Drosophila melanogaster: one gene and its partner. The protein of the gene in region 1 purifies or fractionates together with the protein of each later gene. This does not show direct contact. Each region holds a gene or a part of one and is shown on either strand. Other genes may lie near its edges.

The links.
Region 2: the proteins of klg (region 1) and apolpp fractionate together in Drosophila melanogaster (co-fractionation; one study listed by BioGRID). This does not show direct contact.

Annotation. Positions count from the first base shown.
Region 1 is NT_033777.3:22,897,250-22,902,301, reverse strand, and holds the start of klg (klingon), read right to left. Parts: upstream 3,019-5,052; 5' UTR 2,692-3,018; intron 1-2,691.
Region 2 is NC_004353.4:1,059,042-1,064,016, forward strand, and holds the start of apolpp (apolipophorin), read left to right. Parts: upstream 1-1,927; 5' UTR 1,928-2,095; intron 2,096-3,636; exon of another isoform or gene 3,637-3,878; intron 3,879-4,975. Other genes in the region: Zyx (zyxin), read right to left, coding at 60-310, 378-795, 1,372-1,563. UniProt on the Drosophila melanogaster protein: Constitutes the major component of lipophorin, which mediates transport for various types of lipids in hemolymph. Acts by forming lipoprotein particles that bind lipoproteins and lipids.

The DNA of each region.
Region 1 (5,052 bases):
AACTTTGAATATTTCTAAGCAATACGTTCCTCTTAAAGTTCGCCATCGCTGTCATGAAATTGGTATTGATTTTTCAGCTTTATCTCGATGGCCCGCGGAATATGAGTACACAGAGATATCACGTTACGCCCGGGCCATAATTAAAATGTTAAAAATGTGGTCACGGAATCTTCGGAAGCCTCCGCTATCTGGCTTTTAATGGGCGATGTCGTAAATGATATGGCCACCGCATTGAATTTCCAATGAATAGCGTGGATGGTGGTTTGCACGATTTTGGGTGGCTCTGGCGGCTTAGATGGCCTGTGGTGCTGCGTTGTCACCTTGACAACCACTATGGAAGAGCTCGTTAGCCAGCTTAGCTACAATTTATCTCCTGCAATTGGCGACCCGCAACCACAGCCATCAGCACTCAGCACAAAGCTCCTCTGGCCGCCTAATCGCATTCAATTAACACACAACACACAGCACATAGCACAGAAAAAGCCAAGACAAAAAAAAAAATAAAAAACTGGGCTTGAACGCAACTTCTTGCCAAAGGCAAGACAATGCTGAACTGGAGAAATGCTCGTAAGAATAAGACCAAGTCCAAAGTGCATGGCAGAAAAGCAAATCCAACAAAGTTGTTATTGCTTTTGTTTCGGCTGGTCGAAAGGCGTTTATAAATTACTTAAAGCGCTTAAGGCCGGAGAAAAGAAAACCCGTCTAAAGGGGATGGAAAGGGGGGGGAGCCAACAACTTGTGGCGTGACCGAGGCTTCGAACTTCGAGGGAAGCCAATCCCGGCAATATGTTCGCCGATTTTCCTATTGCCTTGGCCATCTTGGCTGCTGAGCAGATTAAAGCGTATCGTGTAGCAGCAAATCCAAACCGCAAGCGGCCAACAAAGGAGGAGGAAATCGAGGAAAACTGGCGGTGGGAAAGCGGAAAAGCGGGCAAGCACTGGGAAAGCCTACCAATTGAATATCAATCAACTTTTGGGGCGTGCGTGTGCGTTGGCAAAAAGGAGCTGAAACAAAGGAGCCATTCAAGTGGGTGTGGGTGTGGATTTGTTTTTGGATGTGGGCACGAGCCAAGTGAAGTGGCCTTGCCCCCCTTCTCCCCTCTCCAAAACCAAACTCCCACCCCCTCCCATAATGGAATTAAAACTGGCAATTTCGGAGCAAATTGCTTGATAGGCTGTCTTGTCTTGCAAGTGTTATGGCTGCTGCACAGGAAAAAATCTGTAATCGGATTACTCTGGCATTCATAAAGTATATTTCAAACAAGTTTTTTGCTCATCTGCTAATTGCCAAAAATTGAGAAGTGCCCAGAAAGTCTGGCTTTTTAAATCTCTTTTAAATTTGTGAAAAATGTTTGCCTGGACTATTTGTATTTAGTGCTTTTTCTTATTGATAAACCTGTGTTGATACAGACTACCGATGGGGTCCTGAATAAATCTAACTGTCATATTTTCTCTCAGTGCTCCGAATCGCTCGCACAATTGGCATTGTAGAAGCGCGTCTAACCGAATTAGGCAACACAAATCAATTGCATTAAATGGCAGGCAGCGCGTGTCTTCGCCCCTTTGGGGCTGCCAATGCCTGTGTGGTTACGATTCCGGCTTCCCTTTTTCGATTTTGCGAGCATTTTAGCATATGAAATTGGTGTACACGTCTCGAATGCGGAATACTTGCAGGTTAACCAAATGCCAGAAACAATTGTGATGTCCTGAACAGGCAGCCAAATAAATGCCGACGAACAGCTGCAAACGACTTATTTATGCCACAGAAGAACTCGAAGCCCCATCCACAGCGCCATCGTATGATATCCCTATTATCGTTTGCTTCTCCGGGATTAAGTCTGCCTGGATCTGGATCCTAATTTACACAGCTTCTGGGTATTTACCTCTTCTTTCAGGGACGCAAAACTTTTGCCCAAATGAGAAGAAGTCGGCAGGAATGCCTTTCGGCGAATGCTCTTAAGTATTTAAATTCAGCGGATTTTTATGAAGCTTTCGCTTTTCGCCATTGCATGTGTTTATTTCATTTCTCATTTTCACAAACATTTTCCCACCAGCACACCCACACACACACATACACATATATACAACTAAGGACGCCACATGCCAAGTTCTACTTCATTTCATGTCGGCATTTGCACATTTTCCTTATTTTTCCCACTTGGTGTGTATGTGTGTGTGTGTGTTAAGGGAAATTTTGTTATACTTCTGGTTTCTGAAGGCGGCTTCTTGCAAAAAACAAAAAAAAAAAAAAAGAACAAGAGGAAAGTGCGACTTGGAAGCCACCGCAAAACAATGAAAATTGGTTTTGTTACTTTGCTTACTTTCGCAGACTCTCTTCTTGGCTAAGACCGTTCGGCGGTTGAGCCCTTGGCGGTGGCTTTTATTGCCCGCCCTGTTATTGTTGCTTTATTTATTTGGCAGCTGGCTGGGGTAAAGGAGCCACAAAGCCACCCAACCACCCACCTGGGCTCCTAGCCATCGTATAACACAGCCAACCATATAGCGAAGCTACCACTTCTGCCGCTGATGGCTTTGAGTATTATCGCATAAAATCCAAAATGTAAACACTGGCTCAAGTCGAGTCCTTGCAGCACGTACACGTTTATATTCTAAGCGACATTCGGTGCCAATTTGAATATTTCAGTGCGAACAGCTCCCACAAGAATTCACTAATATGCTGCAAATTATTACCTGCGCCAGCGGCACTGGAACTCATGTGACGAGCGATCGTTTTCGGTTTTATTATCCTTAAAGTTTTTCACTTTTATATCTTATTGGCTTAGTTTATTCACTTGGCTTTGTTTTAGTTAGTTGCAGTCTGAGAACTGCTTGCTTTTAGGTTAGCACACTGCACAAATAACTATTATCTTGCAGCTAGAATCCTTTTCGCTGGCACAGCTGATGTCCTGCTGGGTCTTTTGGCTTCAGCTTCAGGATTTCTGCTCCTGCTGAAAAACACTTAGAACGAGTCGCGCGCGATTCGTGTCAACTGCGTCGAAGGGTTCACTTTCAACTGAAACACTGCTGGCCGTTCGCCGTCGTTTCTCAGCGCCCTGCATTCGGGTTCGGCTCAACACTTCGTGTTGCTTCGGTGCACTTCGGCTACGCCCACGAGGCCACCCGAGCGACGATGAGAGAGGGCACTGCTCAGAGAGCGAAAGATGGCTGGCTCTCTCCCAGTTCGCCTCAGGACAACTGTGCCACGGCGAAATGGGCATTACCAACTCAAGTTGTTAGACACTAGGCTGCGCTGCCCTGGCTTTGGCCATAAAACATAATTAACAGTTTTGTTTACAAAAGACAATAACAAAATACAGTACAAATATCGTTTATTTGGATTGTTCTTTCTTTTTACTTAAATTCGTGTACTCACACTCTTTTTTTTTTGAAACTGATACTTAAACAACTGATTTAACTATTATCTTATTTTGAAGGTATGACATATGACAGCTTGAAATTCAAACTTTTACAGCAAGTACATTTTACATCAAATTTTTCATTTTTATCATCCAATATTTTGCTTTTGCGATTTAAATAACTTTTAGCCACTTCTCAGCACAAGCCACATATAATAAATTGATCATGTAATGCTGTCATATCATGTTGTTCACCTGTCGCTTAAAGCTATTTGAGCTCAGCAGTCACTCTTCGTCAGCTTTTTGCCTAGAGAGAGGCATATGAAAACTACCCCTATCATATTTTTCGCCACGAATGCCACTCCGAATTTTGCTCCGAAACGAGGGGCTGACTTCAGCCTTTGTTGCTGGAAGCGTGGTGTTGCTGGAAATCGGCTGGCAACATTCGAACTGCTTTGGCAACATTTCGAAGTGGGAGACAAATTGCGGCATGTCCTGCTAGTTTCGGTGAGTGAAAGTTACGCGACGAGTTCCCAGGTGAACGCAACGCTGTCACTTTTCACATGAGTTAGAGCTGGAAAATCAAGTTATCGAGGCGTGACCACCGAGGGCAGGCTCGCGTGTAATTAAAACTAAACAGCAGGAACAACATCAACATCAACATTTGCACCAGGGGCATTGGGCAGCAACCACCCACAGGTCATCCGGATAACTGTAAAAAGCGATTCAGCAGTTTGTACGGCGGAAAACAAAGGGAAAACCAACCATCCCAACCGACAGAGCAGCAGGCATTACGCTGATGACGAAACCGAATACGGAAGTCCATAAGTCAGGATTAAAAACGTCGGCAGTGGCGGCGAACACGCAAAATATGGCGACAACAACCTGGTCAAAAGGAACTTATGTCCAACAGGAGATGTCCTGAAATTAATTTGAATATTTTCCAACCGCTTTTCCCCCGCGACCGCTTGCCCTTGGCCCTTTGTCACTGCTTTTGTTTCAGCTTTTGTTTCAGCTTTTGTTTCAGTTTTCGCTCTTGTAGCAACGGGGCTTTTGACTTCATTAGAAGTAATGGCGAAATCTGGCTGAAAAGTGAAAAACAGGAATCTGTCCGCGTTCCACGCTCCCCACCTCCCCCCCTCCATTCAACTGTCAGCGACGCAACGCAACGGTTATAAAATTCCAAAATATGCACATAAAGACATAATCCTCAACCTCCGCCTCGCCCATCCCACAATTTTTCCCGGAAAATGGAAATAGAAACAACTGCCGCCGAGTCAACGGTCAACAGGCGATGGCGGTGGGTCAGTCAGTTTCAATTTATTGGGCGCGCTTGAAAATAAATTTGTTTTTCGAAAATGCGAACATCAAGCACACCGAACGCCGTGGGTAGTGGAAGGGGTGGTGGGGGGAGGCAATACAGGTGGGCTCTCAGGGGTCCTCGCGGATGAAAAACGATTACGCAATCTGGCCCGTGCCATGTCCACTAAAGCAAGTGGAACAATCTGTGGGGGCGGTCAGCGTGAAATGAGCTGAATTTATACGAATTCGCCGTGTAAAACTCTCGTCCTTCGGGCACTTTAAAGATAAAGTTTGTCCCATTAAATTCAACAAAACAATTCATTTTTAATTTTGCACAATTTGACTTCAATCGCAGTAGATTAAATTCATATGCAACATCTATATTTTGTTTTTT
Region 2 (4,975 bases), on another chromosome or scaffold:
TAAGATTGTTTATCAGACAGAAATATACTCCAGAGTAATGAACTTCAGATTTTGTGTACCTTGCCTGTGGCATCATGCTGCATCGCATATTGGTTTGCATATATTTGTAAAGGATTCGTTGTCTGGTTATTTTGTAAATAATCAATTGGTTTGTTGAATTCCAAAGTGGCGTGACGAAGCTCACTGTATGAAGAACTCACAGCGCTCTCTGGACTAGGTGGTGGCGGTAACTCATCTTTTTCGTTGTCTGAAATAAAATTAGTGCAGACGGATAGCATCTTTTGCGTTGAGCTATGAGAAGAGTCCATTGCTTTGACATTTAAATTATTTTATAATTAATACTATACAATTTTTATATAAGCATTACATAAACATACCAGTTTCATTAACGTTTGAATATGTACTCGCAGAAATCTTAGTTTCGTCTGTTAATAGTTCTAATGTTTCTATTTCTTTGCGAACAGAACCTAAATTAGAATATATTAAGCTTTTGCTTAAAGTCTTTGAAAGGGGCTTTGTAAAGCTGTTGAGAGGTTGTGTTGGCTTAGCTTGTACTCCCAAAAGACCCTTTTTTTCCATTTGAAGTTTATGGTAAGCAAGAGCTTCTAATTGCTGTTCCAAAATTGCCGGATTATCTAAAGTTGTTTTTCTGTTTATTTGAGTATCAGCAACTCCGAATTCAGAGCTGAGGTATTTTCTAAAAGGCATATGCCCCCTCATTGTTTTCTCGACTCCAATCAGAGGTTGTGAATATAGTGGTTCCCGCGAACACAAAACCTGTCTGCTTGATGGAACCTGAAATAAATAAATATTTATGCTTAAGTATACGTTATTATACACAGTTTTTCAGAATAATAACTTTTTATAATACAGGGTATAATAAGGGTATTATAAATAAAAACTAAGATGTGACATGCAGATTTTAATGACTTTGTACGCTGTGCAAAGTTCTAAATATTGCCACAGTTTGCACAGTTTGGTTTTTACCGAAGTGAAAAAGGCATGCGATAGATATTTAGGTACTGGTACAGTTAAGAATATCCCCTAAATTTACATATGTATACTTAAAACAATATTTACTTAAAAATTGATTATGTTTTTTTTAATGAATTGCTCCTGATATGTCGTGTAACAATCCATTAGTCTGTACTTGTTTTTGATTTCTGTCATCTGAATGGTAGCAAATGTTCGCTCACAGTCCAGCCGATCAATAATATATAAGTATATTACATATGCTTTTGTAGAGGGACGGAAATACCCTCTAAAACGGTACAATAACGGACTTTAAGGCTTAAAGAACAAGCCTTTGAGGAGAATCAATGAATTGCTTTGTATATAACACAAACTGGCTATACTAAAGTATGTATGTACCTGAGGCATTTCATTATATTTTATCGGCGGCTTAGGAGGTATATCCAATCTCCTCTTTACTGATGCATTTTGATTATTACTTATCTTGGCGACTAGCTTCGCAACTTTTCCATGTCCAATACATACAAGCGGTGAGCCTGTGTCACCTTTTGGAAGCGACAGCTCTCTAAGTTGCTGGGCCACAGACTCCATTGAAATTTAACAAAACGCGATTCCGTTTTCCTACAACAATAATAAAAACCTTTTTCTAATTTAAATTAAATCAAACATTCAAAGTCGTGAAATTTTAATTTAATATTTTCACTCCTTAACATTAATGAAATTACACCTGTAATGATGATAGTTTGGTTTGTTTTTAACCTGCATATAATTTTACTATATGTATAAAACAATTATTTTTATAAAATTATTGACATTTCAATACTAAGTGGAAATAAAACTATCGCTTATCGAATTTATGAGGCCCAGCAGTGTGACCTTAACACGAGAGCTAGAAAATCATTCTAGGCGCATAGGCTCGTATTCGAACTTATTAAATATGTAGTACTCACTTCGTACAATCGCTTTATATCTCGAAAGCTAATAAGACCATAGACACACTTAAGCGAGATATTGAAGCTAAATCCATATAAAACATATATATGTAGTTTTGCCTAAACGGCACCTTGGCAATCAAAGAAAATAATCCTAATCTGATTATAGGCGGACTATAAGTCAATGTAAGGTATTGAGAGAACTAATTGTTTGATTGAGACTACTTTAGTACGATAGAATAAATGAATAGAGTGTGAACAAATTCATGCCAAAGGACTTTAATTATTACATAAACATTAAACCGTGCGTTGAAACAATATTGTTATGTATTTTTATTTATAAATCTTAAAATATCAACGAAAAATTCGCCAAAAACATCGATGTCCACCAACATCGATGTTTCTCCACCTCTAACCTAAGTCCTAGAATCGAACTAATCCCAAGTGGGTAACGTGTACATTTTGTTTATTTTAGCAGGTATAGTCACTCCAACGAACAATCGGACACGTGCACTCTTATATAAGATGTGTCTCAAAGTGTCAGTCTGTATGACCTTCCCTGTAAGCGTATAGATCTCAGGAACTATAAGCTAAAAAGTTAAGATTAAGAATGCGTACTGCAGAGACATACGCGCAGAGCCAGTTTGCTTTCATGCCCGCTCTAACGCAGATGTACAAACCGCACAAAATTGCTACACCCATACCTTTCAAAAATATTTGTTTTTTTTATTATATATTTTTCTAATTTCTATCGGTTAACCAATAACATTTTGGCCACGCCCCACAAACCCTCCGAAAACTCCCACGCCCACACACTTTTGAGGAATAATTTTATTTGCATGGATTATATAATTTATTTTGCCTAGCGATGTACCCCAACGCCACCTTTCCAATCCGTCACGAATACATTTATGATATATTTCGATTTATTTATTAATATTTTTTTTTTTAATTTTTTATCGAAATGCCGATAAATAAGGAAATATTTTGCTCTTCCGTTTGTCGAGTAAGGGATATCTGACTGTCGGGGAACTTGACTATAGCTGTCACTGGAAAACTTTATGGGAAAGTTTCATTCAGGGATAATTAGTGAGACAAGTTTGTGTAGAAGCGAACGGATGGCAAAACAGACGATGAACGGCGATATCGACTCCACCGCTTTCCAGAAACTGATCAATAATTGATAAACCCCTGAACAAATTTTTAACTCAAATTTTTATAATATTTCCTTTGGGCCCAAACAAAACAAATGGCTGTCATGTAGGTGGCTTCCGATAAATTCGCTCACTCGACCACTGTTATTAAAAATATTTATAAGTTAACTTTATGAAATAAATCTCGTTTCAACATCATCCGAAATTGCATTTTTGTTCTTCTCCCAGACAAAGGAATTTTAAAATAAATTAAATCTGGTGCGGCTCTTTCAATTTATTTTTTCGTGATATTTGGTTCAGCTAATTTGCTAATAAATGTAAATGTAAATGCGAAGTCATATTACTTCATATTCAAGAAGAAAATTCTGTTCTCTTCTTATCTTCATGTAAGAAATTCACATTAAATACCGTGGAGGTCTGAATATAAATATTAATTTCATTGAATAAAGTTCCTCGTTAATATAAAAATGATTGCAAACCACAGTTGCTTGTAAATAAGTACCATAACGATATCCATATTTTTGAACACCACACCCAATCGTCTAATTGTTTGGCCCAATCGAAGCGAAATTAAGCTCGGTGGAGGAGTATTGTAAAGGATAGGGGAATGACCGATTTCTAAGGAGCCACATAATTAGGAGCCAAAATAATTATTAATTAATCAAATACCTTTTTAGTCAAGTGGTATAAAAACCCTAAATATGGGAAATCTATCATGAAAGGTGCACTTTTAAAAGGAAGCTGACTTGGAATCACTTCACATATGTACGGCCATAGAGCTCAATTCATCAGCGGAATCTTTTCAGAAAATGTGGGCACGGTAATCTAACTTTTTAATGGTTAAAGAAAAAAGATTTAAATGGTTGTAATCAGACAATCGTAACTGACATCCTATTCTACGCTTCTAAACAGTGGTCTCCTGCTGTCACAACGCACTATTAGTGATCATCTTCAAAGCGTGGACTTCCGTTTACGATGATTTATTTACTAACCGGGAACAATACAAGAGTAAACTTCTTTCGAACTGTAATTTTTTCTGTCCGATCACGCAGGCTGCCTTTCTGCGTGCTTATCGAGCAGCGTTTTGCTTTCCAGCAACTTTTAATTACAGATTAAAGTTTCTTATCAGTCGTTAACTGCAATTCAGGAACGAACTTTCATATAAACATATTTTATACATCTGTTCAAAATCAAATAAATATACATGTGTAAATATGTGTATGCATATTTTAAATACCTATGTACCTATGCTTGCATTTGTAAGCATACTTTCATCTATATGAAAAAAGGGCATAAAAATGTATAACAAATTCCATTACAGATGTGTGCAAACATGGATTGCAAGTGACAATCTCTGCAAATGCATATATGTATGTATGTATGTGTGTACTTGCGCATTCACATTAAATTTGGAATGATAACAATTGTTACATCGAATTTCTCAATACCTATACATAAAACATAATTGCTTTAGAGTTACAACTAGTTTTCTTATTTGCACATACAGTTTGTCAAGAAACTGTTTACACACTGTGAAATAAGTTGAATTTTTGACTTTAAAGGTAAAAACTAAGGGTTCTTTGCTTAAATTAAACGCAATTTTTTTCTAAAATATAATTAATCAATATTTATTTTACTTATGAATCAAAAAACGAATTAAAAATATTAATTATACAAGAAAATAAACAACAAATTCCAAGTTTACACACTTTTGAGACTGTCAAGTATATAAATATCAGTTTTCAACATTTATAATCACAATTATACTTTGCATTTCTTACAGTTTTCAACACCTTTAAGAGGAAAACGTAATTTGCGATTTGTTTATTACTTTATTAGCCCAAAGCCATATTTAAAATATTGAAAAGGTAGATGAAAGGATTTTGTACTACTAAAGTAATAGAGTGATTCGAACAA